Linked DNA regions of Styela clava. The protein of the gene in region 2 binds, or shares a complex with, the protein of the main gene of each other region. Links are inferred from orthologs where the notes say so. Each region holds a gene or a part of one and is shown on either strand. Other genes may lie near its edges.

Region 1 (16,415 bases), on a different chromosome or scaffold from region 2:
AAAGTCAATTAGATGACTTTAATCATATGGCGAACCACAGCCTCTCGTCTGGTAATAATCAATCTCGACGTGACTGACTAATAGTTATGTGAACTACCCTATGACGGTTAGGTACCCAACAATCCTCTCACACATAATTATCACCCACAGGATTCGCCCCTGCAAACCCTGGCAGAGTAATCAGAATTGACAAGGCAATTTTGTTCCTAACGCTTAGCTCATGTGTCAACCGCGAATGCATTTTTTATACATTTAGGACATCATATCATAATATACCTGGCTTCAAATCCATCTGTAAATGCAGTTGGAGGAAGAACAGAATTCCATGTTAATGGGTCTTTAAAAGCTAGAGCAGCTTCTTGAGAATGCTTTGATCCAAAGTTCTCCACATACTGTGGTAATACAAACAAAAAAATTTTTTAATAAGATTCTAAATATACAGGGTGTTTATAAAGTCCTGTATTAAACCCCATAAAAAACTTTGATGTGCTTCGTGCAACTAATTTACGGCATATAAAGGATTATTGAGTGACATAAAAAGATCTAAATAAACACAGATTGAAAATCAGTGGCTGCTTCTACAGGGCCTTGTTCAGAGCGAAAGCGTCATATAAAAAAAATAACAACAATGGGCTTGAACGAAACATACCTGGATAATATCATTGAGAAGTTTTTCATTCAATGGCGAAAATTCTAGTTTTCCGGTTCCATTCTCAAACACAGATGTCCACTGCGCAGCTCTCGCAATTGCTGCTCCCATCTTTAACTTGGTATAGTTGTACTATTCTAATACTACAAAATACAGATACAATACAACAATAAACTGTTACAATTATTAGATGTAGTGGTAAGAATTGAATATAATATTTATAACATAAAGTATTGGCTGGGCCATAATGAGTTGCTAATTGAGTCGTACAACATCTTAATAATGTGAAAGATTGTATGTGTAAACCAATGTGCATTTCTGAGAATTAATATAATGGCCGATAACATGAGCCAATGTTTCCCACCGGGGAGAAATTTCGAAGTTATCAGGGAGTGAATATCACTTCATATTTGGTAGTTTCACAAATATTGTTTAGTTATTTAGTGTGTTTGAAAAATGTGTTTATAAATATATTATAAACTATAGGCCTACTAACTGCAAAATCCAGAGTGTGAAATGGCACTAGCTAAGGATCTTTTAAAAATGAGAAATTAACGAAAAATAACAGAGTTTTAGTGCATTACGAGGAGGAATAAAGAGATCCAAAATAGGCAAATGGAGAACTTTATCGAAAAAGGGAATCTTCTATTCCTTGTATAATTTTACTATATTTTATATTCAGTAGAAAAGATGAGCCGCAACATTTTTACAAATGGACAATATAAAAATATTAAGTGTGAACAGATAATTTGATTTAAAGAAAGAAAACTTGTGCAATAAAACTCAGTTCAATAAAAATAGTTTGTGCAAAAATTTCACTCACTATCAAATTTTGATCTATGAAAAGTTATTTTATTCGTGAAAAATGTATTTCAACCTATGGGATATACACAGAGGCCCAAAAATAGGTTATCGTATTTCATGCAAGATACGGTGCACTGTATTATAAGACTTTCTGACATTAAATTGCTAAGATTGGGGTTACAGTATATTCATACATAAGGAATTTTAAAGCAATATTGGTACTGGTTTTGAGTAAAAAAGCACAAAGCACTACCTGATCCATACATGAGGTGCACCTGCTAATAAGACGCACGATCAATTTTTGAGAAAAAAAGGAACCAAAGTGTTCATCATGGTTCATAAAATACGGTAATATTTCTTAAATCAATTAATTAATTACTAATCACTGTTATTCTAGTACACCCTGTATTAGGGGTATGTATGGTACCTGGATTTTCAATATGCCGAGTATAACAAAAAATTCAATAAAATAGAGTACATCGATATATCATTCAAAATCACAATATAACACTCAGCAGGAGTGACTTTTGCGAGTGAAATTTGTTATAGGATCCTCCATGGCACAGACAAACAATTTAAAGAAAGTATTATGAATAATATAAAAAGGGAAATGTAATAACTGGGTTTTTTATTTTTCATAGATTGATTTAGAAACAAGAACCAGTGTTGAGGTGATTGGAGTCATTGACTCAACTTGAGTTGAACTTGAGTTACGACTCGAAGTGAGTCGTGTCATTGAATGGAAATGACTTGTACTCAATTAACTGCCAGTGAGGGTAAACTCATTGATTACCTCAACATTGGACTTGAATGAATTGTGACTCAGGGTTTATTAAAGACTTGAAATTCGGACAAAGCAATCACATCATGCAGCATACAATTTCACATGCATTTCATAATACTGATAACATATCAGTATAAATACATAATTATCTAAAATTAGGCAGTGACAGAGCAAATAAATATGATATTTACTGTAATACAGCATCTATGTCAGCTTGCGTTGTGTGTTTTTTCTTGCGTCCAGTTTTTGGACGACCTGATTTTGTTTTTGCTGATTTTTGTCGATATGCTTCTCTTAAGCTTTGCTCACTGTACGCAAGATATACGTGAGATAGATCAAGATCAGAATCATCAGCTACATTTTTTTCTGGAATTGGAGACTGTTTTCTCATATTATTACCTGTGTATGCTATACATTTCATTTGCCATTCTCCTATATCTTCGTTCCAATGTGCTTGTTCAGTAATTAATTCAAAATATTCCGGTGGAATAAAAGCATCACATATTAAAGTTTGTAATTGAACATCTTGTGAAAGTTCTCGCACTCCATCCAACAAAGCTTCCATTTCTCTTTGATGTTCTTGCTGAATATCTTCAAGTTCGGATTTTGTTGACATTAACATTGTCCATATTTTCTTAAGCTTTCGTGTTTTGCCCTGTATTTCTTCTTGAAGAGAATTATATTTTTCTTCAATGTTTATACGCTCAGCTTCTTTTTCTTCAATTTGTTTCCGCAGTTCCTCTTGTTGATCCCTTCTTTCTTGTAATTCAAGGTTTGATTCTTCTAGGAGTTTTTCCTGCTCTTCTGCCTTTTGTAACAAATCAACGCCACCAACAATAACTTTCCTCTCAATAGCATGTAATCGTTCCATCATTTGGTCATGCTCCAACTTTGCTTTTTTGTATTCTTCCTCTCGTTTTTCAAGATCCGCTTTTACTTCATTCCTTTCTTCTTCAGCTAATTCCTTTTGTTCCTCCAAACGTTTTCTTTCTTCTTCGATCTTCTGTTGCATTGCCGCCATTTTCCCTGATGAATTTCTCCTTTTTCGTCCTTTCTTTCTCCTCACGCTCCCGTCAGGACCAATCTCCTCCTCTGATTCACTCTCACTTCCTTCCTCGCCTCCTCCATCTTGTAATTTTTTTCGTAAATCCTCGATTTCTTTTTGAAATTGCCGCAACAATGCATCCTTAGGATCTTCATTGATAATGGCTCGGTTCTTGATATTTTTTGCTCGGTTTGCGTATCGCAAAGTAGATATTGTTTCATCATAATTATAACTCGCAGGACCAATATTGGCACACATCATAGTTTTTGAATTCCCACCGAGAGAATCTTGCAATAGACGAGTTAATTTAGAGTTTCTGTACGGTATATGAGTACTTTTGCCATCAACAAGAGCAGATATTACATTCCCAAGAGTTGATAAAGACAAATTAATCTTTGTCGCTTCTTTGAGTCGTTGGCCTGTTGAGCCAGTTTTCGCTTGTCGTTCAGATCCTGCAAGATCGACAAGATGTAACTTACCGACTCGAACATGCTGTTGACCATCTGGACCTTTTTCACTACATTCTGCAATAATACTGAAAATAGCATGAGATCGTGAAGAGTGTTCATTCATATTAGTAGCACCAACGGAGCGATTTTTGTTCCCAAGTGTCATTACTCGATCCATATCATCAGCATTATTAACCACAAACATTGATAAATCTTTAACATAAACTCCAATATCAGGACGTTCTTTCACTTCGTGACGTGCATGTTGGTCTTTCCCCAACAAATCCCTCACTTCCTCATTGTAAATCTCAAGATAAGAGACACGCACCAAAAATCTACTCTCGCCCTCTGCTTTTGCAATATGACCAAATATCTGTGCAAATGAGTTCGGAATAATACCTCTCAATTCTGGCACAGACCGAACACCTTCCATTGTGAAAGTCTTTCCAGTTCCCGTCTGCCCATATGCAAAGATAGTTCCATTATAACCTTGGAGAACAGAATCCACTATCGGTCTTGCAGTAAGATTATACACATCAACTTGTTTGCTATCTGGACCAAATACTGTATCAAAAGTGAACGTCTTTGGTGGTTCAACATCAGATACTTGTTTTTTCACTGCAATTTGACCTCGAACTTCATCTACTGTAACAGCAGTATCGAATTGAGATGATTTCTCTTTTTCATTTAGAGGTCGACATCGAACAACAACTTTGACATTGTCAGCACTATCACCTGATTTCGCTGATGGCATTTTAAATATATTTTGATATACTTTCTTAAGTATGAATCTAAAATAAAAGCAATGAATATGATATTTATTTGCAAAGTTTTCGGTGATCAGTAAAACCACTCGAATATAAGCCGAGTTTAAAACTTAACTAAGGGACTGGCTTATAAGCGCAAAACTCTGATCGAGCTTGAACTAATTGAGATTTCATAAATTAATACGGCAAACTCAAACTGAAGGATATTATCATTAATGGCCGTCTGGCTAACAAATAACATCCGCGATATATACTAAATATTATTTAGGAACCTATTACTACCGGTATATTTTCGAACTAATTTGCGTTCATAATTTTATATGGTTAGAATGTTTGCTTCAGATAGAATAATACTACAGCATTAATTGTCAACAATAAAGCTATAATTTTAATCATTTTGAACAACCATTTAACTGAAAGGTTGAAATAACATATAAATATGGTGTGATAAATACTGCGCTGTACATCCATGGGTTAGGCAACAGCTGTGTTTTCCGTTTTTTTTTTTGAATTAGCAAAACGGAAGGGTCATATATCAATCACTTTATCTCGTGGTAGCCGTTTTCTTTCTGAAGTGCCAAGTGCCGATATCAGGCAGGAAGTGCTTCATTGCACCCACCGGCTACGTTTTTGTTTTTAAAAGAATTAAGACAAATAACAGCTGATCAATTGATAATTGGTCAATTGAATAATTGGCAGACACTTTGGCATAATATATCAGCCCATATATGAAGCTTACAAAAATCATGTTTGAGAAGACTTGTGAAAATAAACCAAATTTATTGCCCTAATCGCACAGGATATCTCGACAACGTTAATATAAATTAATGATTGTAAAATATTTTCAATCAAAAACTTCCTCATGTTATACGTACTTCAAGTCGGCACTGATTCAATTCCTTTCATGTCTGCAGTAATTTACCATAGTTGTTCTGCAAAGTGCTGTCTTCCATTATGATAAAACAGAAAATATAATAATCGAAAATTGTTTTAATCAAAACGTGGTCAGCGGTGCTAGAATCTGTGTGCCATATTTCATATTAATATAAACACTAAAAACAATACAAGAAGGTAGCATAAGCGATATTTGAATGATAAATTTGAACATAGATGCGTGCAGCGTGTTACGAGATTTGTAGAAACGGCTTATATGCAAATTTTCATAAAATCTCGTCGTTTTGAGGCCGTTTTTAGGGAGTCGACTTATTCGCGCGATGGGCGTATATTCCAGAATATACAGTATTAACAAATATTCTTGATTATTTATAAGACATCATGTATAGCGATTAATATAATCCCCTACTTTTGTACTTTCTGGAACTGTCGCAAACTGGAGCTGTGCGATAAACTAAAAAGAAGAGCAAACTGAAAATGTCATCATTAAATTACTCAGTAAATAAGAATTGATTCACAGAGGGAAAAAAAATCCTAGCGTATTGGTCAAGAGTTGTTAGCAAAAAACAATCGGCCAATTTTGCACCAAATACTGGGCTTTGCAGTCTACTTTACTATAATAATTAGAGACTGCTCAATTATTAAACCTCTGTTTAGCTTATAAAATTACTTTAAAAATGACTTAAGTTATATTAATTAAAAATGTATAATCAAAATTCGATGATCGCAGTCACTCACTTTACAAATAAGAACAAAATATAAATATTCAGAATACAAATGTTCGCATCATTTGAAGAAATTTTTTGTATTTGTATTCGAAAGAATTAACTGTATAAAAGTATTACTGTATAATTTATGAAGTTACAACTAATGAGATCAAGACAGAAATATCATTAGTTGTTTTCACACAATTTATGAATTTCGGAGTTGGAATGCTTATAACTATTTCTAATAAATTACGTCATTCATTCCAGTATAATAAAAATTTTCTAATATTCAACTACCAGACTACCGGTACGATAACTTTCATTCTTCAGAACTTAGTTTAGCAAATAAAAGATTTAGACTATTTCAAGATTTCTACATTCATTACCGGTACTCTGTTACAGAAATAAAAATTAATGAACTAATCAACAAGATTTTAACCCGACCTTGCATAAGTCCAAATCCAACGGTTCGATTATAGATATAAAAGACAGTCCAGAATAGAATTCACATCAACCTGCCACTGTACTAAAGGGTTCGACGAGAAGCCAACAATCCTTCAATTTCTAATGGTCGCTACGGGATACGAATTATTTATTAGCAATGTTGACTTAGGGGGCGCTGTTGATATGGTAATCAATCTAACTTTTTTTCAGTTTTAACGTGGACTATCTATGCAATATGCAATAATTAAGAAATATTAATTTTTTCATCTTCGATTCTGATAGAGGAAAAAATATAACGCATCATCCTTGACCTTAACTGGTACATGTAAATAATTTATGAGCTATTCGCTTCTTAATATCGGTGTTTACGATCATCAGATAAATATACTAAAATCTTTGAACATTCAGAAATTCTGTAAAATATATTTAAAAACTTAGCTCACTTTACTCGTCAAAATTTTTTCTCGGAAAGACAAGGTAATAAAATTGGTAAACGTCCTTTTCTGCGTACATAATTTTTTGTTTTGTTTTTGTGTTGGGTATTCCCCTCATAATGAAACTACTGTACTGGACAGTAGCCAGACCTGTCTTCGTTTCACGCAAAGCAGTGATGGCTAATTTGGATTCCATGATAAGTGTAATTTACAAATGTAATTTGTGCCTTTTTGAAAATGAATCAATCGAAAAACTACGCACGCATGTTGCAGAGACACATAGAAATGAAGTTTTGGTAAATCTTATTTCATGTATTTTTGTGTACCGGTATGTTTCTGAACATTCAGTATTTGACCTAGTAGATCCCTGATATGACTAACCAAAACTAATATTATTTGATGCTGGGGGTCCAGTATAGTTTGGTACCACAAGGACTTCTAGTTGACCTGGCTCAACAATTTTTGCATATGCTATTCCTAACCCCCACCTGATTATGCCATCCAAAAATTACGTCACTACGACGTCACCACACGTTATAGGGATTGCCAGAGTATAATTACGATCGCCCGAAATGACATCTGTGCCGCTGATAACGAACTTGCTAAAGCCGGCGATCTCTCTCCTATAGTGATCAATGTGACGAGAAAACGAGAGAAATTGCTTGATTGATTTCGGGTGATCGTCTATGCGTTTTGGACGACCATCCGCATACTTCGGTGGGCCTTATTACGCCACTGTGACGTCGAAATGACGTAATTTTTCGATGACGTAGTCAGGTGGGGGTTAGGATTGACATATGCAAAAATTGTTGAGCCAGGTAGTACATGTGGTACTAAACTCAGAAACTATACCAGACCCGATGCTGGAATGTGGGTAGTTCGAATCCCATCTCTCTTGGTTATCAAGCACCGCCGACACCTAAGGTTCTAATTTAGATGTCGGAAGTTTGAATTGTGAATTGTATTTTGCTTTCTCCACCACCAAGTCCATGAATCTGAACAAGTAACTGGTTGACTATTTCTATTCTCGACCTGGACCCGTAATCAGACAAGAGACTGTGATTCGCCATATGATTAAGCCATTGTATCACAATATTCCTGTATGAAAATCTCATTCTATTTTGATAACATGCTGATTGCTGACAATGAATTTGAACAAACAAATTAGCTTACAATCTGTTTATTTACTTTTGTTTTCTGGTATTTTCTATTGCAAAATAAAATCACAATATGTTTGTATACCATACTATTGTATAGTTTGCACATGAAGATAGATTATAATTTTAATTACTGATACAAATCCTATCCTTGTCCAGGATCATGGTCATGAAGCGTCTAATACAGAGAACGTGGAAACAACAGGAAAAAATCAAATTAACATAATTATTGAAGAGGCCAACTTTGCAACGGAAAATTGTAAGTACCGCTAGATACGAGTTGATGTAGTCTTGTGGCAAACCCGTTATTTGAGATTGTCTGATTATGTAGTGTTGGGAGGAAATCCCTAAATTCCAAGTCACGAACCGTGGGTCATCGAAGTCTAGTCAATCTCTGAGCTATTCCTCAATGGAGTATTTGAGTATGTGTTTGAATCACCTCATTTAGATGACTCGAGTCACTTTGAGAAGTTGAGTTAATAAGTGTGTTTCCATGGGCAAGTTTACTAGGACGGACTAGGACGCAGTCGGGCGGGATTACTAGGACGGACTAGGACACGAAATCGCGACCTGTTTCCATGTAATCGTGATCTCGGAAATGAGTTGCATTGTGGGTAAAACTACACGCTTGGATGGGTTGATTTGTGTCATCTTCTTTCAGCCTGAGTGATCTCCGCTGTAAATATTTTGTTGTTGGGATTTCCCCAATTCGTATAAAGCTGTTACTGTTACCCGAGTTTGTCTTTAGGTTTCTCTCTTCGGTATCATTATCATAGTATTAATTTGAATATGGACAGGGCGAAGACTTTATTAGCGTTTTTTTTCGCGGTGCAGGCGCTGGTCTTATGGTTGCACACCAGAAGAATAAGGCGGTCTAGGACGTTGCTGGCGTTAACTCAGTGGGGAGCTGAAAGAATTCCGAGAAAAATATGGATGGAGTACCGGTAATTCTTTTATTCTATATATAGGCATGTACAAAACAAACTACAGTAAGTTTTTAAATTATAATGGCACCGTGGGTAATATATTAGCCATATATTGAGCATAAATTTAGTGTGTACGTACAACAACTCGTATCAGTACCGTACTGCAGTATATATTTGCTCTAGTGATGTCAGTGACCTCAAATTCAATGATAGTCTTAATCTAAGTGATTTCATGACTCTTTCAATCAATATCAGATCTACGTCATCAAAATTGGCAGCCTGATTTCTCATCTATGATAAATTTGAATTGATATCAATTGCGTTACATTAAGTAAAGGAAGGAATGATCCTGTGAAATAACAATCCTAATTAAATAAGTTAATGGTCCAATAGGTTGTCCATACGGCATATGTGATACAAAATAAAAAGAATACAGGCTTGAGAAGTAAGCATTAGTCTACATAAAAAGTTATCGAGAGATACGGTACCGGTACCGTTGAATGTTTAGTCTGCTACCGTACCGTTTACACTACCGGTAATTCTTCATCTGCCATCGTGAGTTTGAAGGTTGAGGTACGGTACCGCATCTTGCAATGCCATTACTTACAACTGACAAGTTTAAACCCATGTGGATCCCCCACGAAGAAAAGCCGCAAAAATGTCATCTGCGAGAAACATCGAAAGTCGCTAGAACGGAAAATAACGTATAAGCGTCTTGAATACTAGGACTCAGTAGGACGAAAACCCGGTGAAGAAGTAGGACGTACTAGGACGCGCCATGACGTCACATCGTTGACCATATAAGGAATGCGCGTCCTACTGCGTCCTAGTCCGTCCTAGTAATATTGTCCATGGAAACACACTTAATGACTCATGTCTCTTCAACACCGCATGTTGCTGAGCAGGTCAATTTTTCTAATGTATTGACTAAAGCGTATATATAATACAAGCGAGGCAACGCTCCGACAATGGACGCCATCTTGTGCCTATTGTTCTGCCTTGCCTTATGAGAAGTTCGCACACAATCATTGAAACATACCTATTATTTTCACTAATATTTTAGGCAGAAAAATTTTGAAGGTCGCGTTATTAAGGAGAATCTTAGCCTAACACGTTGATATTCTTCCATGTTTGCCAAATTACATTTATAGTACATTAAATTGTCCTTGAAGACAAGTATACCGGTTCCGAGTTGCTTCTGAAGTAAGTTAACCATTCTAATCGTCATAATAAACCAATTGTTAATCGTCATAATTAACCAACCAAACCATTCCCTATGACGTCACAGATGAAAAGCTGTATTTATTCATCGAAATTACCGGCCGACTCAACTTTGCTTCAATGGTCGTTTCTATTTTCTGGTTAATATTTTTCGTTTGTCAAGCTCCATAATGCCCTACTGCTCAGCTCCAAGCTGTACTAGAAGAACAAATGACATTGTAGGATTGTTGCGGAGACATTTTACAGCGTCAAATTGGCGTTTCCATATAAAATCTTCAAAAAAATGACCAAAGATGGTTTTACGTTGTGTTTGTGGTCAAATTTAACGCATTACCGGTAGATAGTTTTTTATTCTCAATATCATTATATTTAGGTAGCATATAGCTTAAAGTTCAAAACCCACCCTTCGGCTTCATTCTAGCCCTTATGGCTGCTGATTTATTCGATTCGATACAACCACACGACGAAAATTTTCCATAGGACTCCATTGTTTCGCGTTTCCCAAATATGGCACAAGATGGCATCCATGAACTTGTTTAACATTAGGCAAGCTGGTTGCCGGCCCCTGGTATGGACCTAATTGGTTAAAGAAGCATTTATGTCTCTCACCCTACAATAACAAAGAATGGTGATAAATATCTCCCATAAAATTTAAACCTTTGGCTCTTGTTTTGTGGGCATATTCCAATATATTTTGTGGGCTGCTTGTTACAGCCTGTGACACAGCTCCAGCTTATAAACACCACTGAAATCTGTTATGTGCCAACCAAATAGAAAATGTTTTTTTTTTTGCATTGTATCGCGAAATGGCAAAGTACATCCACATATTTTAAAACTCAAAAAACATGCAAACTCGACTTGACTAATTTTCAAATAAAAAACATTGTAAGAAGACTCAACCATTGCCAAGGTGACACATGACCTACAATGGGTTATTCAGATATTCTTTCTCACAACTATGTCTATAAACTGTTTTTGATCTATACTATATATCTAAGGCTAGGTAGGCTTTTTGTATAATGATTCAATCAAGTTTTTTTTCTCTTTAGCGACAGGTGTTATTGAAATGAATGCAGCATCATGTTTGGAATCGGTAAATGAAATATTTACTGATGAGATTATTAGGAGGGAAAATAAAAGTAGCAATAAAGAAGACACGAAGAAACATGGAGGAAGATATAAAGCATTACTATGCACTTTGTGTAATAATCGGTTAGTTCTCAGTTGCCGGTAATCTCAATTGGATTCGCGCGCCATTTTTCATGGCAATGTTCAATTTATCCAGTTAATGTACTAAATTTGATTAGGTTGACTCCTGTATAAAAGTGGGACAAAATCGAATTGTATTAAAATCAATTTTTAATGTAATTGTGGTCAGACTTGCACTCTTATCAGCTGGCGCATCATGCCAAACATTAGGAACTCACATCTCTGATTACTGTCTGGGCTTTGATTCTTGTAGGAAATAATTATGTGCAAAAGAATAACTGGCTCCCCGCCATCATGGTTCACATAATTGCTGGTCAGTTACAGGCTCCTCAGCCAGCAAGTCAATGCATCTGAAACTGTGCCCACATTAACTGTTAGGCGGACGATAGGCCGTGGTTCTCCATGTGCTCAAAGCATTTCATTGGCTTTTCTCTACTAAAATATACATATACCCGTATATATAAAATAAAATATACAACAACAATTTGATTGTGATTCTTGTACAATAAATTACTGCATGGTAATCATTGGTTAGTTCACAAAGGTTTGTTCTTCTGAGGTGGTTTGTAGTTTAATCGGTGTGAAGGGTAATTCAATTTTTAGACAAAATTTATCCGACACAAACAGTTATTTTTCCTTTTTTTTGAAGACTCAAAGATGAAGAAGAAATGAAAATACATCAAGAATCACATTATGAAAACAATGCATTCAAATGTATAAAGTGTGATTACACGAATTCCCAATGGATAGAAATCAAAAATCATATGAAGGTATGGTATGTTAATTTAAATGACAGTGTGTTAACTCTAAACCCGTGGGTCTAATCGGGGGCCCTTACGGGTCAACAGAAAAATTTTGGGTGGTACATGAGCTTTGCATTATATATACTGGTACTTTATTTTAACTTGGGTTAAGCTTGTGTATAATACATAATGGCTTGCCCTATTATTAGTCAAGGCTGTTTTCAAAGTGTTTGTTTCAAGGCTCTGTTGTTGGCCCATTGTTTTTTCTCATTTTGATTTGTTATTTCAAACCATAGGCATACATTAGTGCAAATTTAATACATCAATTTTTACAGATTATTAAATTAAATTGTGACTTTGATATTCAGATACACGATGTTCAAAAAACCAACAGTTGTGCAGAATGTACAATGTCATTTGCAAGCCAAGTTGCTTTGAATAGTCACTGGTAATGTATAGTTGATATTTATAGAAGTCAATTATTCAATTCTGAATAGGTTGTTGTGACCTTGTCTTGTACAATTATTTATAACTAATAATAATATCTTATGGCAAAGCAGGGTTGCTGCTGTTCAATATCTGATTCATCTACCAAGTTTATATTACTTTGCTGCAGCTATGTCTATAAGCTTGAATTTCCTTTGTACAGTTTTGTTACATTTGATGTTTCACATATTTCAAAGTATCCTATTTATTATGTTATCAGGAGATTTCAACATCTAGGAGGAAAACATTTATGTGACACATGTGGTTATGAAGCTTCTTCTAAATATAACCTTTATCAACACAAATCGCAAAGTCACCCTACGATATATACATGCTATCGATGCAATTTTACTTGTAACAATGAGGTTAGTAGCTAGGATCTGTTATTTATTGATACTTGATATTTTATCAGTCATGTCTCTCATAACAAAAGTCCAGTTAAGAAGACACTTAGATTTACTGGGTATTTTTATTTTTCATGGATGATTATAAAGTCTGGTTGGGAAACACTGGGTTGATACTTTCCCAAAAGCAGGTGGTATTATTTACTGGCAAACTCTAGTTCATTTTTCTTTAGGTTGATCTTCAAAAGCATATGCATTCAAGGCACGAGAGTGGGTACATTTGCAAGTACTGCAAGCCTACACAAATATTTTCAACTCAGCACCATCTACATGCACATATGACACAGAATCATTTGGGAAAGAAATGTTTTATATGTGACCGATGTAACTATGTTGCTAAGTATGTAATAATTGTATTATATTCTAGCTGCTGATGCATTCGATTTGTTACATTTTAATGAAGTTATGGAACTAGGTACTCAAGTAATTCCTCTCTTTACCTTACCCTAAAATTTGCCAGAAGGTAAACAATAGAATAAACGTTGAGATAAGATCCAGTCCATATGCAGTCTGGTATTGGGATTTGAAATCATACTAATTTTTAGCATTCCAAATTAAATTCTTGAGCCAGAAATTCTCGAGAAAAGTGTCGTTAAAATACATTATTTTGATAATTGGTATCGCAAAATTATATTTTTGGATATCTTCCATGTCTTATTTGAACTTAATTTTTCAAGAAATTTGGAAAGAAAAAATTTGAAAATGACTACGAATATGTAAGTTTCGCAATATTCCAGAACTTATACCTTGTTGTACCAGTTCATTTATTTTTAATAACATCAAAAAGACGTATAAAGGCGCTTATGAATGCACAAAAAATATTATTTGCTTTATTCATATAACTATCAGAACAAATCATAATACAATTTTAAGATTACGTCATCATCTTGAAAAGCACTATTTGATGCATACTGGGGAAAGACCATTGAAATGTAAAATAAGTGGATGTGACTTCACAGCTAGAGAACCCAGGCATTTTAAACAGGTAGCTACATTTTACTTGAAGTAGAATTTTGATGATTTAAAATGTATAATTTTGTCAAAGCATCTAATTGTTGAAGAAGGAATGTGATTATATTTTTTATTCTCCAATATTTTACAATAGACAGTGCTGTTGAGTCTGAGAAACTTTACAATTCACTCTGACTCTCAACTTTGTGTCTCAAGGTCAGCACTGAACTCCGAAAAAATCTAATTTTGATAATGAAAACTTTGGCGAATGCAAGTCTTCTTTACTAGACTGTTGATAAAAACCCTAGGTAAAATTAATGCTTTTTTAGTTTTTGTAGGAAATTTTGACTTATTTTATCATCATTGAAAGTATGAAATTTTGGCTCTGATGAATTTAAAATTTCCAATAAAGGTGGATTCCATATATGATGAAGTTTTTGTTATTAAAAAATTCGCTGCTGGAGTCGAAATTTTATCAACTTAGGCATGATGCCTCTTATTTAAGTGTCTAATATTAGATTGAGCAACTCATTTGCCCTAGAATAGCAGCTCTTTGCCTCTATTGTCATCATATTCAGAAATTTACAAATTACAATATCCGATTTTCAGCACATGGTAACAAAACACAGTAAGCCTGGTGATCTGGTATGTAAAGAATGTCAATTTGTTACCTCAGATCAGAATGAGTGGGACCTTCATATTTCAATGCATCATATGAAAGTAAGTGGTTGTGGCAATGGCATCATGTTTTACTTACTTCCAACTTCAAATCCAACTCCTTTCTATTTTTCAAATAAGGTCTTCCAATGCAAGCACTGTGATTATCAAACAAAGAACTCTGCTACTCTAAGACGACATCGATTGGCGAAACATGTTGATCAGGACCAAATGCGTTTTCCTTGTCCTCACTGCTCATACAGAACAAATTTTCGTGACAGTTTTAATAAACATTTGTTAACTCATGATTTGAAGAATGCAAGACATAAATGTCCAGTATGTTTTTTTTTTATTCTGAGTGGTACTTACAACACTGATGAGTTGGGTAACCTAAAAAAAAAAGAATTTGGAACATATTATAGATCTAGACAGAACATAAATTTCCATCCTAAATTACTGAAAATTTTGAGAATAAAATTTGAGTACAATTATACACAAACAGAAGTAATAAATGAAGTTTCTTTATTTGCTTGAAGTAATCAAGAGATTCATGGGTTCTGTTTTACCGGGTAGTGTAATTTTAGTGTTTATAAATGAGATAGGGCTGCAAGGCAGGGGCAGAGGCCACTTATACAATGCACCATTACAATTTTAGTTCACAAAGTGACTTTGACTGCTGCTACTTACGTCATGATAACAAATTTTTTGCAAAAACATTGACATTTACAAGTCTATTTTAAATATATGATTCAAATGTCTAAAATTTTTGCGACACCCCCTTCCGAGTTTTGCCCAAGGACATATGTCATTGTTGGTTCAAATTTTGTTTTCTACATATTCAGATTCATATTCATTACATATTCAGATTTGTAAAAGAGATCTTAACACTCGTTTGGATGTCAAAAATCATCTTTTGAAAAGCCATACTTCTGATGTCACTTCTCAAGTACAATTTTGCAATATTTGTCCTTATTCCTGCACAAAATCTAGTAATTTAAAGCAGCATAAATTGACACACAGGTGAGTCAAAATTGTAAAAATACCTGACATTAGTTTAGTAGTCTGTCTATATCAGGGGTGTCAAACTGGGTTTTCGAGGGCCACATTGCATTTTGGGAATTGCGCAAAGGGCCGCAAACAATTTTTTCGATATATTTTGATAATGTGTACTTAAAGCATATTTTTAGATAGGTGTAGTTTGTGACATATATTGTGATGCAATTAAACAGCCGAATGAAGATTTATAATTTTCTTAAACTTCAGATGCCATTTACATATTAATTTTTGCATTTCACTATTATTTCAATTCGCAATTTACTGTATTTATTACAAAAAATCATAAATTTTTATGTACAACTTTCCAAAACATTTTTGAACAAAGTTTTGATAAGGAAAGAATAATACATACAGTAAAAAAGATTAAATATAAATATATAGACCTAAAATTTACAAAAATACTACAGAATATACTCAATGTTTTTTTCATCACATATGTCCTGACGTTTGGCATCTCTTTTGTGCCACCAGCTCACTAATATCAGGCTGATTTACAGTTCCAACTCTAATTAACGAGGTCACATGATCATCGGTTAATCTGTGAATTTTGTTAAGAATGTTTGAATAACTTCCGTAATGCAAAAATATTATGTTTATCATTTCATGTATAGATTAGTAAACAAACAAA
Region 2 (16,459 bases):
TGTTTGACGTGCTTACTGACTTTCCCTCGGCACTGCCAGCAGAATACTTGACTAGGTCCACAACCTCCCAGAGTCGACAGTACCTGTAATAAGTGAATCTGAATGTTTCATGTAAATTTTAAGTTGCTTCTTTATTATCATCTACTTCCATAGTGCATGCTCTGCACTATATTATACTGTATGGCCATTTGTCATACAATGGTAATTCAATTTTGCTCATAGCCTAATCGTATAGTGTTAGCAGTATCTTTCAACAGTTCTACACTCATGATCCTTGATATTGGTCTCTCACCAAATACAATTTAATAACTATCTCGTATATATTTTTGTAAAAAGCTATCATATTTACCACTTTATTATTATTGTGCTTTGTTGCATTTTCGAAATTTGTATATATATAGCACTGTTGATACTCAGTGCTGCAGTGGGTATTTCATCCATCTGTTCATACACATATTGTGTTCATTCTATATTCTCAACGATTCCAAGCGGTATGCTTACTAATTTACAACGCTATTTATTGTTACCCCCATCTACTTTGTTGAGTTAAACTGTTTTTCACAGATTAGAATAATTTTTATCTTTAATGTATTAATGACGATTCGACTTACCCCAGCACTTGCAATCTTCTTGCACCCCAGCACTTGCAATCTTCTTGCACCCCAGCACTTGCAATCTTCATGCAATCTTATTCGAACTCTTGGCAAACATTTATAACTATGATTACGCCGTGTTATCGGCATAATATCCCTACCGGGATATATTTAAAATCTGTTAAATAACTATCAATTCCATAACGCTGCGATATCGGTTCGGTATCCTGTCATCGCACTGTACTGCATTCCTGCTGCCGTTCCCATAGTTACTCGCACATATGTGCTTGGAGTCGTTTTTGGTTTTTGCTTTTCTGTGTCTCGAGCGTCTCTTGGATTCAGGTCGTCTCGATTTTTCACTTCTTTATATTCTTTTATTTATTGTTTGACTTTTTTCATTGTTTTATGATTCATTTATTAGACTTTAGCTCAGGTGTCGCCGCTCGATAACCAATTTTGGTTTTCGCGACTCCTTTCACCTCGAATTATCCGTTTTTGCTTTCTTTTACATTCCGTATGCATTTAGTGTATTTCATGTGTGGTGAAAAAATAAACTACTGATTACTGACTGATTGCTACGGTGAAGTCGTGAAGCTCCTTATCAGGAGATGAATTCGTTCTTATACAATTCAACTTAATAATTTTATATACAACAAAAAAACTTCTTATTCAAAGCCTTTTTGAATGAGATGTATGAAATACCCCATAAAAAGTGGGGCTACATTACATATCACCAAATCTTCATCAAATAGCCACGATAAAAAGAAAATCTTAAATTACAGACCAGGTTGTTGCATTGTGCCCAATGCGCTGCTCCTAATTCGATCACGCATTGTGCCCAATGCGCTGCTCCTAATGCGGCATCACTGTGCCCAACGCGCTGCTCCTAATGCGGTCACGCATTGTGCCCAATGCGCTGCTTCTAATGCGGCCTCACTGTGCCCAATGCGCTGCTCCTAATGCGGTCACGCATTGTGCCCAATGCGCTGTTCCTAATGCGGCCTCACTGTGCCCAATGCGCTGCTCCTAATGCAGCCTCACTGTGCCCAATGCGCTGCTTCTAATGTGGCCTCACTGTGCGTAATGCGCTGCTCCTAATGCGTCATTAATTTTTGCAGCTAAACTTATTGTCATCGGGAGGCATGATCACAATTAAGTTATTCGATTTACAAATATTTTTAGTAACACAACTGCAAACTGGTAAATGACACGCAAAAGCACGAATGCGAGGCAATTTTTACAACTATACTTGAATATCTGTCTGAAGAAAAGAAGTGTCTGAGCAGACGCATAAATTTCCATTGTTACTATTTTGTTGATTGATCATTGTTACGGAAATAAAGAAAATCGGTGTTTATAAAACGTCAATGGTAAAATGGATGGGTAAATTGTCAATCCTGACTGTGCGTAATACACTACTCCTGATGCGGCCCCACTGTGCCCAATGCGCTGCTCCTAATGCGACCACGCATTGTGCCCAATGCGCTGCTCCTAATGCGGCCTCACTGTGCCCAATGCGCTGCTCCTAATGCGGCATCACTGTGCGTAATGCGCTGCTCCTAATGCGCTGCTCGCAACGAGACTTTTAGGCTACCACTACTAATGCTGTTGCTCGTCCGGTTACCAGTCCATGACGGGTGTGGGTTCAGTTATTTGTTCTCGGAAGCATGGACTTGATGGTGGAGGAAGCCGTAACCGACCAGCGGTTACGTGAACCACCCTACGGCGGCGAGGAGTCCAGCAATCCTCTCGCACATTATCATTCCCGCTTGGGATTCGAACCTGCAAACCCACGAAGGGTAATCAGAGATGCGGTGGCGAGCGTATTCCAACGCTTAGCACGATGTACCGGTACTATAGAAACTGCCAGAAGCACAGTATGACGCGATTTCGTCGAGATATGACCGATTGGAAATTTCATACGCGGTTACAACTTACGGTACCGGTACCGTACAAGGCATAGGAAGTTACCTGCTTTTACGGTACCGGTAGTCTAGTTATTTGTTTTGGGAAGCATGGACTTGATGATGGAGGATAGCCGATCAGCGGTTACGGTACATGAACCACCCTGCGGCCTGACGGTGGCGAGGAGTCCAGCAATCCTCTTGCACATAACTATCCCCACCTGACTATGTCATCCAAAAATTACGGTACGTCACTACGACATCACAATCACGTCATAGAACTTGCCAAGTATGGCTACTATCGTCCGAAATGGCATCCGCGCCGACGATACCAAACTCACTAATGCCAGCGGTCTCTCTCATATCGGGATCGTTGCGAAGAGAAAATTAGCTTGCTCGATTTCGGTGATTGTCTGCGTGTTTTGGACGACCATCTGTACTCTTTGAAGGTATTTATTACAGTATTACGCCACTGTGGCGTCGTAGTGACGTGACATAGTCAGGTGGGGATTAGGAATGAAGTATGAAAAAGTTATTGAGCCAGGCCAACTAGAAGTGCAGTGGTACAGTGGTACTAAACTCTGAAACTATACCAGACTCCAAAAACTGAAAAATGTCTGTGCCACGACTACTAGAAGTAATCGCGGCATTTAGTTAACATGCACCCTGATACTCTGATATGAAATCCAAGGGATTTTTATCACAAAACTGGAGAGAGCAATATAATTGTATAAAGTTTATTATCGTCAGTATCTCACATAACTGCAAAAATAGCTGAAACATAAGACTACGGATGTACTGCAGAAAGTCAACTACAAACAGACAAAGCTTATATTCGTAAAGTATAAGAGTGGAACAATAACACGGCAACAGCATTGTAAGCCATCACTGTTACCACAGTACTATGTCATTTAAATGCTGATGTCAGGATGTTGAAAAAAATTTTGTGCAATTAACTTAAAAAAACAAACTAAGAAACAGCAGAAAGACAGATTCACTTAATGCAATAGTAATCATCATTAAATTCAAACCAATTCCAAATAAACAATGTTGCGCGTCATATAAGGAATCTGTTACGATTTCAAAAAAATATGTAAAGCAGAAACATATAAAAATCCCTCTGACAGCTGTAGCAACAACTTCAAATGATCCTCGAAATCTACTTTGTAATGTAATATAATGACCTATTTGCACACTCTCTTGTTTTGTTGATTTTTATTAAATTTAGTAACTTCATATTTGGAGATATTTTTTGCCTGTTTTGTCTTCCAATCTAGTTGTCATTTGAGGTCAATTTTTTTTTTTTTTTTACAGACAAAAGTAGCAGCCCTGCTGAAATCATAGCTCCAGCAACTGGATAATCTTGCATCTCCACTTCTCGTGTCAAATAACTGGATAAATATGACGATGCCGAGTTTTGAAGTTGGAATTCTGATTTTTTTGTTATGCAATGCACTAGGTATGCACGGATAATGATATGATATATGACTTATTTCATTGTATTTCAGTTTTTAGTACCTTCAGTCTACCTGTATAGGGATACCTTGGCAGTACCATTTGCGGTAGTTACCTGTCTGCCATTGCTGAGTATCTCTTCCAACGGGTTAGCGCAACCGACTGAAATGGCTTGTCTAAGAGCCAGAAATTCTTAATCTTAACATTAGCAAATCTTCTCAATTTTCAAATAAAATCTTAATGCAAAAGTACTTTTATTCAAAAAACATGTTTAAAATATCTGAATGGAACAGAAATATTGAATTAGGTAAAAAGTTTTGAAATGTAAATATAATGAAATAAAGAGGGCAAGATCCATTCTCATAGACATATTATTTTAATTACGGTAGCATCACGTACCTCAAAAAATTGTCTTCATCTCTCACCTTTTGAGAACCTCTGATTTAAATGCATGGTCTTGATAGTGCTGGAAGCCGTAATTGCTGAATTGACCCGTCGTTACAGGGTTACAAGTAGGGATATCGCAATTCGGCATACTGAATCCGTTCGATTCGAATCCAAAAGGAGTTTATATTGTGCATGTTTATTTTACTGTGTGTTTTAAATGGTTTTGGTAGATGGCGGCATTGCTGGATTGAAAGTGTATATTTTGTCAGAAATCGCATATCCCGAAATCACATGTTTTTTAAAGTTCATCTTAGTGAAAAAATGACTTTTTGTTAGTTTTTAATTCCTATTCAATTCTTGCAGTTACAGCAAATACACTTCCGAAGACTGGGGTTGATGATAAAGTATACGAAATGGAGACTGAATATGGCAGATGCATTGCTGGTATCGTGAAACCGTTGGATGAAGTTGTAAGGCATATATTTTTTATTCCCATAATCTGCTATTTTATTCATATTAAAAATCCTTGTACACTACTGCAATACTAGTCTGTTCTCTATGGTCACTCACAAGTACCATATGCTGATATAGCTAAATTTAATATCAGTTGAAATTATAGAAAATCCTATTCAGAATTGTTATGTTTTAACAGGTTTATTGCGTCAATAGTCATGGAAAACAAGGAATTTACATGATCAATAGCACCAATGAAATGGAATGCCTTCTGTGTTGCCGCGGATGGTTCCACGAGTATAGATACTGGCATAAAATGGGGTGTACTTCTTGTTCGTCATCAGGAATAACCGAGGAGCCAAACATTGATTCAGGTTGCCAACCAGTACGAAAAGCTCCCCAGTAAGTTCGACTAAATGATTGTTATCGAATAAATTTTTTATTGCTGTGAACTAAAACGGGACCGAGAGATAAAATTTTCTATTTCGATATTAAACTCTGTGCCATCCAATAAACAACTACCGACTCCAGATTGAAAAAAAAGAAACTTTATTAACAAAAGCTTGTGCTGTGTTAACTCAATAGTCAATACTATGTGCTGTTTGCCTGTTTCTTTCCGAATTTTTGACTTGGATTATCATCATGAAAAATCCAAACAATGTCAATTTCAGGATTTACCAATTTTCATTTCATAGGAATGTTGCTGAAGGTGGCGGCTCACAACCTCCTGCTATATTGAATCCACCAGGAGATGAACCTGATGACATAAAGACCCCTGCAACACAAGACAACATGACTGCCCCAGTGACAACAGCACAGCCAATTATTGGTAAGTATTGTTATGATTAGCTAATTCTTGAATGTCACCAATTTGGTTCTACTCAAGTAATAAACAGCACATACTTATAAAAAATATAACCAATTATCTTATTAAAATAAACATGGATCTTGGAGAGAAAAGTAGATTTATCCCTCTTTAAAAAAATCTTACAGAATAAGAATGACCCAGGGCAGGCTATGTCATCTTATCATGACTGCATATAACTTTTAATTGTGCCTGGCTTCCATGATTTGAATAACAAATGGAACAATTTTTCATTAAATTTAAGAATAGCGATGTATATATGGACTTAATTTCTGAGTGGAGTGGCCTCTCATTTGTACAGACTTTCTGATTACTTAATCCCGACATTTTAAAATGCAAATTACCAAAATGTGTGATCACTGATATGAATAGATACCATATATTGTTTCTGTTTTCTCGTTGATATATTTCAATGTTTATTCACTGTTCATTCATATAATTGTCGAGCTCCATATAAGTTGTTGATATTATTTCCTATGACATTATTATATTCTTGTATTACTTCCTGAATTTGTGAATAAATCTTGCAGGCAGTTCACTTGGCTAGGGGGTAACTTTCATATTCACCCGCCTTGGTAAGAGGGTGAAAGGATGTACACTACTGTATGATCAATGCTGTATGTGTTGCTATTCAGTTACAAATATATTTCGGTGCTCCCGAAGTATGCGAACCAAGATGGCGGACATCGGAACGTAACATGGGTAACAGGTTAGGGTTAGGCGATAATTTTTATCCAATTTTTCTTATTTTAGTCCTATTATCAGTTCGAAGACTAGCCAAGAGCCTCTCGTAGTATTTATACCTAAAATTATGGCCTAACCCTAACCTAGTACACATATTACATTCCGATGTCCGCCATCTTGGTTCGCATACTTCGGGAGCCCCTATATTTCATTATGGCAATATGAAAAAACTCGGTCAGCCACCGACATCTATACATTACACACTTGTTATTGTACTCATCGTATTCGTTTCAGAAAATCTGACACCACCGTATGCTATCGAAAATCTGATCTGTGAAAATTTATATTCTAAATTTCCTTCCCGGAAATCATCTGTCCTTGTGACATGGAACGGTTCTGAAAATGCTGAGCATTATGAGGTATATAACATATAATAGTGGTACGAGTGTCTTGTCGACCTAGATTTTTTCTGCATTGCTTATTCACACATTACGCTCCGAGCAAAGCCACACAGAAGTAATCACCGATATCTTCTAACGTTTTCCAGCTGGGTAGGAATTCTATTGGGTTGGAATTTTCATTTGTGTTCGTTGTAGTATTACTAATATTCTATATTTTTGTTCAAAAACGGGCGACTTTCGCATAACATTAGCTAAGGATACAATAATAAAGTTTAAGAAATGAGTCTATATGCGTACTGAGGAAGGAATAAAGTTACTAAAACGAAGAAGGAAGGAATTCAACGAAAAAGTTTGGGAAATACTGCTCTAAGGCTTTAACTGCTAGGCCATTGCACACATAAATATTATTATATTATAATATCTGTATGAAATTCATTTAATTTTCAAACTTTCAGGTGATATTAACATCTAAGGGCAGCTCGCAATTTTATGAAGTTAAACCACCTGCTTTGGACGTTAAAGATTTAGAACCAGATACCAAGTATAAAATTGTAGTGATAGCTGCAAACAAGTCGGGTAAGAATCTATATATATATATTTTCTGTATACACTGATGCATTTATTTTTAATATGAAATTGTAAGTAGAACTCTGTCATTAAATTCATTAATAAGGAAATTTTTATTAAAGGGAAGAGCACATCAACTTCGATTGATCACCATACTTGGAAGTTGCCTCCACGGTACCCTCTCACAAATGTTCATTTCACAGTTACTGGATCGATTATACATGGATCTTGGAATATTCCTGAAGGCAGAGCTGAAGAGGAACCATTGTTAGGTTATAAGGTATTTTCTGCTTTTTTATGTGAAGTTTATTTTTTCATTTCAAATCTACTAATTCTCTTATCTTGAGTAATAATGTTACACAGGTGCTACTGAAAGATTTGGATTCAAAAAAGAAGCTATCATTCCTATTTGAGGAGAGTGAATGCACTATCCAAGTTGAGGAAAACAGAACATTCTATGCGACTGTTCTTCCTTATAACAGGGCTGGTAACGGACTACCATACGCATCCTCGTATGTTCAAACTTATGCCAACTCAGGTATGTTATTCTAATGCAAATTTGTGTTTATAATATATTTGTATCTTAAGAATGCTGTCTTTTAGAAAGCTACATTTTACTCTACTCAGTTCTTAGCATATTAGGTTTGGTCGGGAGTTACTGCTCTTATTTAATCAAGACTAAGAGATACTTCAAATTACATGATTTGTTTCAATGAGTTGAGATTACTGATATTTTGTATTTTCAGGATCTGCCACTAGCAAACTTTTCTCACTGGGAGCACCTATATATTGTTATATCCTCGCCAGGATTGTGAACTTTTTACTATGCAACTAGATGAATTTTTTTGATCAAATATTTTATAGTTTTTGATAAGCTTTGAATAGTGCCAGATGATCAAAAGTATGTGGTAGTGAAATATAAATCCGTTTCACCCTTCGTTTCCAAATCGATTTGATTTTTTACTTAGTGGTAAAAAGAGCATATAAGAATATTTTAAGTATTTTTCAATTTTGTCAAATTCCTATATGTTATAACGTCCTTCAATGGCCTTTTGCTGTACAATTATGTTTTGCACTTTTCTTCAGTTTAAATTTGGAATTTAATTTCTTTATGATCTTCAATGTGATTTGTAATTTTTCGAATTTAATTTGTTTGTGAGTGGGATTTATTGATTAAGCTTCCCTGAACCATTGTGCCTTATGATACTGGAAGCCACTTGAAAGCATTATTTGTGTTGTGGCTATTTTGTTGGTGTACCTGTCTCTAATGTTGTATTTGTGACAATCACACTTACAAATCTGTGAATTCTTCATTTTTCTCTTCGCCATTTTTTTTTCACCACACTTATACTTTTGGGAGTTATTTGAGATCTGCTGGTTTTAGTACTGCGTGTTTTTCAACTTGCACAGAAGCATTTTGATTTTTAGATACAATCGTTGCTTATGTTACCTGTACTTGTAATTGTTTATATATCATGTATGCTTTTAGGGGCTATTTTTTCCAATGTGCAACATAGGTCGTTCTGTGATGATTTTTGCAATATATATATATTTCTAGAAAATCAATAAGATTTTTTTAGTGCCATAGCCCGTATTCAATGTTCCTGTGTCATTGTGTATTTAGTTGAAATGCAACAATTTTACATGCCATATCATAACTGATTCATTGTGTTTGTTCTTCATACTTTTTCTTAGGCAATTTGTTTATTATAATTTCACATGGCATCGATAGCAAAAAAACTGAATGCGAGATTTGAAAACATTGCCAGGGTAATTGCTTGTTTTCTTATGATTTATATTTTCTGTTTATTTTATTGTATTTTCAGAATAGGATGTTAGTTTCCCTTGCCACACTAACAGTATTTATCTTTTACCGATGGTGTTGATATTGCTGTTCATGATATTGAATAACATTGCACAATTTGAATGCTGTGTATGATTGTTTCTAAGTTTCTGTTCCTGCCTGATGCGCTTACTACTAACACATTGCTTCCAGTAACTTTACATATCTTGTATCTTATGTATTTTAACATGTTTTATTGATAAAACCTTCTCATTCATTTGTAATAATAAATCCGAAGGTATAATCTTACAAATGCCTCATTACTAGTAACAGCTTACCATTTAACACTTGTAATATGGGATGATGAGTAAGTTTGAGTTTAGAAGAAGACTACAAATGGCATGCCGATTTTGTGCACGGGAAGTAATGTTTCAAGAATAAATTGTAAGAAAATTTTAAGAGCTTTTTCGATTTCCTGATACCACAAAATTACCCGACAATACAAATAAAACAAACTAAAAAGTATACTGGAAGAAGAAAAAGTGGCGAGCCACACCACCGCAGTCTCGGTATGCGTCAAAATTGATTGGCTGTCTCCCCGTACCCATCAAACAGTTTTTTGAATATATTGAAAAAAATGTTATCACTATGATTTTCATAATCGTAGAAAAATCTTGCGCGAAGTGAAGGAAAAAATGTTTATGGGGTCAAGGGTCGCGTAAACATACATTACTGTCGGGTCTCATTTTTTTGTTTGTTTTATTCAAATATTATAAGAAATATTGGTTGCAATAAAATGTATGAGTTACAATAAAAAAAAAAAAATTAATAAAAAATGTTTAAACGTAATTCAGAATTTCTGATCTGTCGCAAATAATTCGGCATTCTATCGCTAACGCAACTTGGGTGAAAGGTTGTGTAACCGCTATAATTACGTCTGTATGCGCTCAATTATTATCTTAATATTGCTTGTATCTGTCGATTGTGGAGTTCGTTGAAGATTATGGTGAGAACATGCAGACGGATGATGCGAGATATTTGAAACGGTAAGTCAGAATAAGTGAGCTTTTAAAGGTAGGATGGTATTTAAATATGTATCTCAGTATCTCGCCCAGTTACCAGACCATGGGCGCTTCCGGTCAGCGGGTACGGTATGGGATTGTAGATATGTAGTCAGGAATTCATGATTTTGCATGAATGGATGTAAGCTGTTGTCTGGAGGTGGAACATTTACTGGTAAAATTACTAATTTAACGTAGAGTTTATTCTGCCCTGCTGGCTCTGAGCAAGAACTGGAAATGAAAGTTTGTTTTTATATTTAAAACAGAAAAGTGCATTCTGCAGCTCAGACATTTGCAAATCCAAAAAAATGGTTATTGAATGAATATTTAAATCATGAGCGCACATCTTAAATGAAGACATGTGCCAAAGTTTTTAAAATCATGTTTAACCTACTCAACCATTTGCTATTATTAGTTCAGAATTCCATATACTTAAATACAGAAATACACAAATTATTTTCACCAAATCAAGAAATCATTGGCATGCCATGTTCGAGTTTATGACATTAGGCACGTTTTTCCTGTGTTGTGAACTTCTGATTTAAATCATATACAGTGCATAAAGCCTGCTGTTTGGTGTAGAATAATTGTATCTGGTCAATTTTCATACTGATAATTCAAGTACGATTCAACGCCAATGTGCCAACCTAGCGGTGGCACTGACACTCACCCTGTTTCTGTATTCGGGATGGGACTCAGTGATTATTTTGATCGTTCATTCCGATGATTCTTTCAGCGATTATTACGGAATCTCATTATCCATAAGGCGATTTGACCCTAGAAAAGTTACGAATTACAGAAAACGCTTTTGTCATGCTCATCATTAAAATGTACTGTCCCCTGAGAAATTTACATATTTTTACACTCTAAAGTGCCTTTTGTGAATTGGGTATTTATTTTACAGCAAGGTCAAAGGAGGGGCAATTGACGTTCACCCAACTGAACAAGCACTTGTTGTGAATTATGAAGTGGAAGCAACAATATTAGGAGAACTTGGTGATCCTATGCTCGGTGAAAGAAAGCAATTTCAAAAAATGTATTTAATTTTCATTATTAAAGAATTTTATTTTCTATATTTTTTCATAGTTTTCCAAACACTTTGACAGGCCTAAATTCTACCTTTATATATGCAGAACTCGGGCATTACCAGGATCCAAAAAAAATATGTTCAATATTAACATACCATATTTATTATACTAAGAATAAACAATCATTTACGACAATATAATGCTTATAGTATATCTGGAATTTGAATGCATGTTTATATGCCTGTGTTTTTTTTTTTAAAGCTGAGAATTAGTTAAATCAGTAAGTGAAAAACATACGGTTCGAATCCCATATTCACCACCAGGGTGTAATATATTGAGTAGAAAATATTAAACCGGAAAGTAGCTCCTTAGATATCATATAAAGGAACGTGACAATAAAGGACCGGTAATTCAATTGTCTTTACATACTGATATAATTACCATTCTTGTTGTTAGTTTAGCATTAGATAAGTTTTTAGCATCAATTGCAGCAGTTAAGCCCTGTTTTTATACGAGAACCATATAGCAACCTTATAAGGCATGATTTATCAATAGTTTACGGAGATAGCTAATTAGCTCTGTCTAGATCTGTCACAAATACAATATGTATTGTTCTGTATTTGTATGAGTATATCAGTGAAATGTGACTAGGAAAATTAACAGACGGAAATTTATTTGCCAATTTTTACTGCAAAACAGTTTAATATGTTTTCTTGTGCGTAGAAACTGCTTTTTGGTCTTTCAAATGAATCAAAAATTATCTTTTTGCAGTTACTACAATTTGTTTTAAAGTGAAGTTTGTTGATTCAGTTTTTTGGAAAGTTAGCATTACCAAGTTGGATCGTGTTTCTAAGTAGTTCAGAAGAGTTTTAAAATCATGTAAGCATTCTATCATTATAAGTAAAACAGCTCTTAGTGTGTCATTATTGTATTACAGACACAGTGTTGTCAAGTAATGTAGAATAAGAAGATGATTACTGAGAAACTGTCAACAATTTTCTGCTCATTGTTAGCTATCGATTCCAATTAGAATTATCAGAAAAATAAAATAGTTATCATTTTGAAAGAAACAGAATAGCATATTTTGATATTTTCATCCTAGCTTTTTTCAGTAATTTCAGTTCAGATTGGTATGGTTAGCTCATAAATAGCATCTTGATCGAGTACTAGTTGAGTGTATACCTATCTATTCCAGGGACTCGTCATTTGCTTCCACGTATATTGAAGTTCATCCAGTTTTAGATGCTTTAATTGTTCACTACAGTTTTGATTGTTTGTTAGGAGAAGATGAAGAATTGGAATTGGAACATTATTTAACTAAGCAGGGAACAAAGCTGTGAGATTGTTATATTAGCTAGTTAGTAAAGTCCAGTTACTGGGTGGAGGTTCAAAGGTCAAATGTTTTGATATTTTTAAAACAAGTAGGAAGTAATAGCTGAAGATTAGGAACTAAATTATTTTTCCACTAGATTTCAAATAATTCTGCTCTTAATACAAATTACTTCTAACCATAGCTGTAAAAACCAGTAAAATATGATTCTAGAGTAAGAGTGATGCCTGTCATATTTTGACTGAACAATATTGCTACAATCGTTATAATAGTATAATATTAAAGAGGATGCCTGAATTTAAACCACTACTCAATAATTCTATAAAGAAGGTCATGATATCCGTATTTTAAAAAATTTACTAGCTGTAGGAGATTAGCTCTCACGTATGAATGATTGAAAGGGTCGACCCTTAATCAACCTAATTTTCTTGTAGAATTCGATTGCGGAGTTTGAACTCTACAACTGACATAGCAGCTTTAGCTGAAGAAGTAATTGAAAAATGTAAATTAATTCATGTATCAAAGCTTCCAGAAGTGGAACAATTGCTTTACTACCTGCAGAAAAGACCCGGCAAAGGTATTTTGAACTTATATATTTATATATGCGTATTATTATACCTCTTGGGCAAAAAAGTTAACTTGGACAAACGCCCAACTTTATGATTGAATTGTTTTATTGGATTTTCTCAACTCAAGATAATTTAAAAAGTCCTATTTTATGCAGGATTTACATCATCATGCCTTTCAAGAATATGAATTTTTTTTATTCAACTTTATTAATTTTTTTGCGTACAATGCCAATAACTTTGTTGAAACTTCATTTATTTAGAAAAAACATCAGGTGACTTGCGACCAACTGGACAAGATGTTGAAGTGGAAGATTGCATGTTTGGTATTGAAGATGGTGAACAAGCCAGCATAAACGATATCGATAATTATGTTGAGCTTCTTTATGAAGATATTCCAGAAAAAATTCGATCGTCCTCTCTGCTACTACAATTGACACGTAACCCAGACAACCTTGAAGAACTGCTTCAGAATGGTAAGGCTCACATTATTATGGTTTTTATATTATTCAATTCTTGCATCCATGAATATCTTCTCATTTCAAGAGTGTTTAGAATATACCTACTCTAAGAATAATCTCTCTCTAAGGCAAACAATCACTTGATTATGGTGGCATATTCGTACTTATAATACTGGATTATTTCTGATTTTTGTTGATGGCCAAGCTTGAAGAAATTCGTATTTCTATTATATATTTATTCCAGGGTATAGAAAAAAAGGTAATGCTGCCCATTTTTTTGGCAAACCATGACTACTCGTCTGGTTTCAAGTCCAAATTGGGAGAAAATATCTAACCAGTTTTTCAGTTCAGATACATAAATTTGGGCAATTCACAAAGTCTCCAGTTTTGTGGACTACCCAATTTGGCTACATGATGTATCAACTTTAATATCATGATATATGTTATAATCAGACTGCATTCTATAGGAAAATGTTGTTTGTGTGGTTGCAATGTTGTGTGCAAATTTAATTACTTGTTCTTTAATTTATTTCCCTGGATATTCAGTAACAATCCGCGTCAGTTTCTTAGACATGCAATCTTTGAGTGTATTGTCTTTAATCTTTTTTGCTACGTGTTCTGCTTATAATGCTTGGCGATGTTTTTTCAAGTTAACTAATTGTTCTCTTTATTTATAGAAACAGTTCTTGGTGCACTTGCTCGTGTTCTCAGAGAAGATTGGAAAAAGAGTGTCGAACTTTCAACAAATATTATATATATTTATTTTTGTTTTTCAACTTTTTCACAATTTCATGGAGTTATTATACATTTCAAGGTTCGTCATTTCATATGTTATTTAATTAAATTCCACCTTCCATATGATTAAATCTTTTACTTATTTTTGCTTTCAAATTGTCGTTTTAGATTGGAGCACTGTGCATGTCCATATTAGAATATGAATTATCTCGACATAAAATGTGGAACGAAGAATTGGACAAAAAGAAACAACAAAATATCCTTAATCAATAAATTTGAACATAAAATATATGCAATAAAAATATCATTGGAAAATGTTTTATACCGGTACTTCAGATTATTCTAAATGGTTCTTTTTTTTTGTGAAATATTATATTGTGAGTCGTGTTGCTTTACTTAACCGCTAATAAGAGTTTTTCTTGACTGCTAATTCTACTAGCGAATCTTCCAAAATCAAATCCTGCTGTAAAAGAGTTTGAAAAAACAGCGAAGAAATGTGAAGCTATTCTTAAAAAACAAGATCAACTTTTAAGAGGTATATGAGTTAAAATTCCTTGTTTTATCATTATGCCTGACATGATGTTTGGATGATTTGACTGAACAATAAATTAATAAATATATTGGCTGATATCTATAATGATTGGTTTCTTGAGTATCTGAACTCTAGAATCAACTTTACACAAGCAGGAAACGTAGACTTAGGGTGATACTGAAATTAAATTTGATGATTTTTGTTGTGCCGTAATTTCTTGGTTGTGTAATATTCTGATATGAATATGTTGTTGTTGTTTAGGCCTATTAAATTTGTGCTACAATACTGGGTATGGATTGACCACGTTGCTAACCAAGACCAATCTTTTTGTGGGACGAGGGCTAATGGTCAAAGCTTTAATTGTGTTAGCATTGCAGATTATAGAATTCAGAATTCAGGGGAGGGGGGGCAAGGTTTTTGGACCAGGGACCAAAAATTTTGCCCTTCTAAATCGGCGGGCCATGTAAGTGTGACGTAAAAAGTTAATTTTTATGAACAATATTTACAGTGGTACAAAAGCAAAAGTGAAAAACAATAAGCCAAAACTAAATTAAATCGCAATTTCAACAAATTCCTTGAGCTATTTTTTAGCTAAAACATCAAAATTTGGTTTTAGTTAGGTTGTAGCAGCATCAGGCAGACCAGATTGAAGTACCCAACGGGCCGGATTTGGCCCGTGGGTTGTAGTGTGGCCATGTCAGTTATAGATCTATTGTTGAAATCTCATAGGTCCACTTTGTATACAGTGATATCAAATATCCTACAATTCAATCATTATTTGAAAGATATTAGAATTGTATTCAGCCCTAAGCCTATTTGTTTAATTTCTATTTCTCAGTTGGATTCTACCTCCTGTTGAATCTGTCAGAAGATGCTTCTGTTGAAGTCAAAATGAAGAAACGTGGAATTGTTGGCATACTTGTGAGAGCATTGGAAACAAGGGATAACCCAGAATTGCTAGTTCTTGTTGTTTCCTTCTTAAAAAAATTGTCGATATTTTTGGAAAACAAAAATGAGATGGTGAGACTCAAATAGTCTTGTTTTTTATACAAATACCTAAACAAATAGCTACACATCACCACAATAGTGGTATTTGTTACAAAATAATTATATAATGTGATCGAAATTGTATGTCTAATACGAGATAAAATTATTTTTTTTCTAAAATTTTGAGATATTTTGTCCTGACTCTTTCATTTCTAAGAATTTTCCGCGTTTGACTGCAGTTACTTACGGTTTCTTCAAAGGTCTTTAGTTCCTTTAGTACAACTAATTTGAACTGTATATAAATATCTTTAGTGAGTCCTTATTTTGAAACAGTGAAAAATTGTACATTCAAGTTATACTGATTTTGAATAAACGTTTTCACATACCGATAATCAAGTTAGTTAAATATTTGACAATAACCCCAAACTTTTTTTGAATTACAAATTAAAACTGTGTTTTTCAGAGGGATAAAAATGTGGTAAAATCACTGGTCAGACTTATTCCGACGAGCAATGAAGATTTATTGAACGTTGCATTACGTCTTCTGCTCAATCTTTCGTTTGATCAAGATATCAGAAAACAAATGATGGAGTCTGGTCTCATACCTAAACTAGATGGAATCTTGGGTGAGGACTTCATTTTGTGGTTATGAATCATGATTGTCAAA

Evidence for each region.
Region 1: the proteins of kinesin-associated protein 3-like (region 2) and kinesin-like protein KIF3A are in contact, whole or in part, in a crystal structure (PDB 9IKB), measured with the Caenorhabditis elegans proteins. The link is inferred for Styela clava from reciprocal best matches to the Caenorhabditis elegans genes kap-1 and klp-20. Residues at the interface, in NP_001367739.1 of Caenorhabditis elegans: Ile269, Glu272, Leu273, Val276, Arg277, Leu309, Ser310, Ile311, Phe312, Asp313, Glu314, Asn315, Lys316, Asn349, Phe350, Phe352, Asp353, Lys657, Ala660, Gly661, Arg663, Phe664, Lys665, His667, Asn668, Gln670, Trp671, Met674, Val675, Asp679; in NP_497178.1 of Caenorhabditis elegans: Tyr557, Ile558, Pro559, Val560, His562, Leu565, Ile566, Tyr569, Lys582, Ile584, Ala585, Tyr586, Gln607, Met611, Tyr612, Tyr613, Ser614, Tyr615, Arg616, Leu619, Ala621, Ser622, Thr623, Ala624.

The regions. Positions count from the first base shown.
Region 1 is NC_135250.1:21,205,168-21,221,582, reverse strand, and holds kinesin-like protein KIF3A, read right to left. Parts: upstream 6,562-16,415; 5' UTR 6,544-6,561; intron 5,585-6,543; exon of another isoform or gene 5,374-5,584; intron 4,523-5,373; 5' UTR 4,486-4,522; coding exon 2,425-4,485; 3' UTR 793-2,424; downstream 1-792. Other genes in the region: outer dynein arm-docking complex subunit 2-like, read right to left, coding at 277-392, 650-760; uncharacterized protein LOC120343993, read left to right, coding at 7,097-7,273, 8,294-8,393, 11,331-11,493, 12,140-12,260, 12,602-12,681, 12,940-13,084, 13,297-13,463, 13,997-14,108 and 3 more. UniProt on the Caenorhabditis elegans protein: Component of the kinesin II motor complex (composed of kap-1 and the heterodimeric motor proteins klp-11 and klp-20) which is required for intraflagellar transport (IFT).
Region 2 is NC_135254.1:13,148,484-13,164,942, reverse strand, and holds the start of kinesin-associated protein 3-like, read left to right. Parts: upstream 1-9,957; 5' UTR 9,958-10,106; coding exon 10,107-10,138; intron 10,139-10,221; exon of another isoform or gene 10,222-10,328; intron 10,329-11,056; exon of another isoform or gene 11,057-11,057; coding exon 11,058-11,189; intron 11,190-11,952; exon of another isoform or gene 11,953-12,058; coding exon of another isoform or gene 12,059-12,060; intron 12,061-12,376; coding exon of another isoform or gene 12,377-12,517; intron 12,518-12,945; coding exon 12,946-13,088; intron 13,089-13,340; coding exon 13,341-13,553; intron 13,554-14,215; coding exon 14,216-14,352; intron 14,353-14,441; coding exon 14,442-14,529; intron 14,530-14,709; coding exon 14,710-14,808; intron 14,809-15,643; coding exon 15,644-15,825; intron 15,826-16,255; coding exon 16,256-16,418; intron 16,419-16,459. Other genes in the region: uncharacterized protein LOC120344989, read left to right, coding at 3,899-3,956, 4,703-4,809, 4,992-5,194, 5,488-5,621, 6,636-6,760, 7,198-7,318, 7,432-7,589, 7,673-7,847 and 1 more.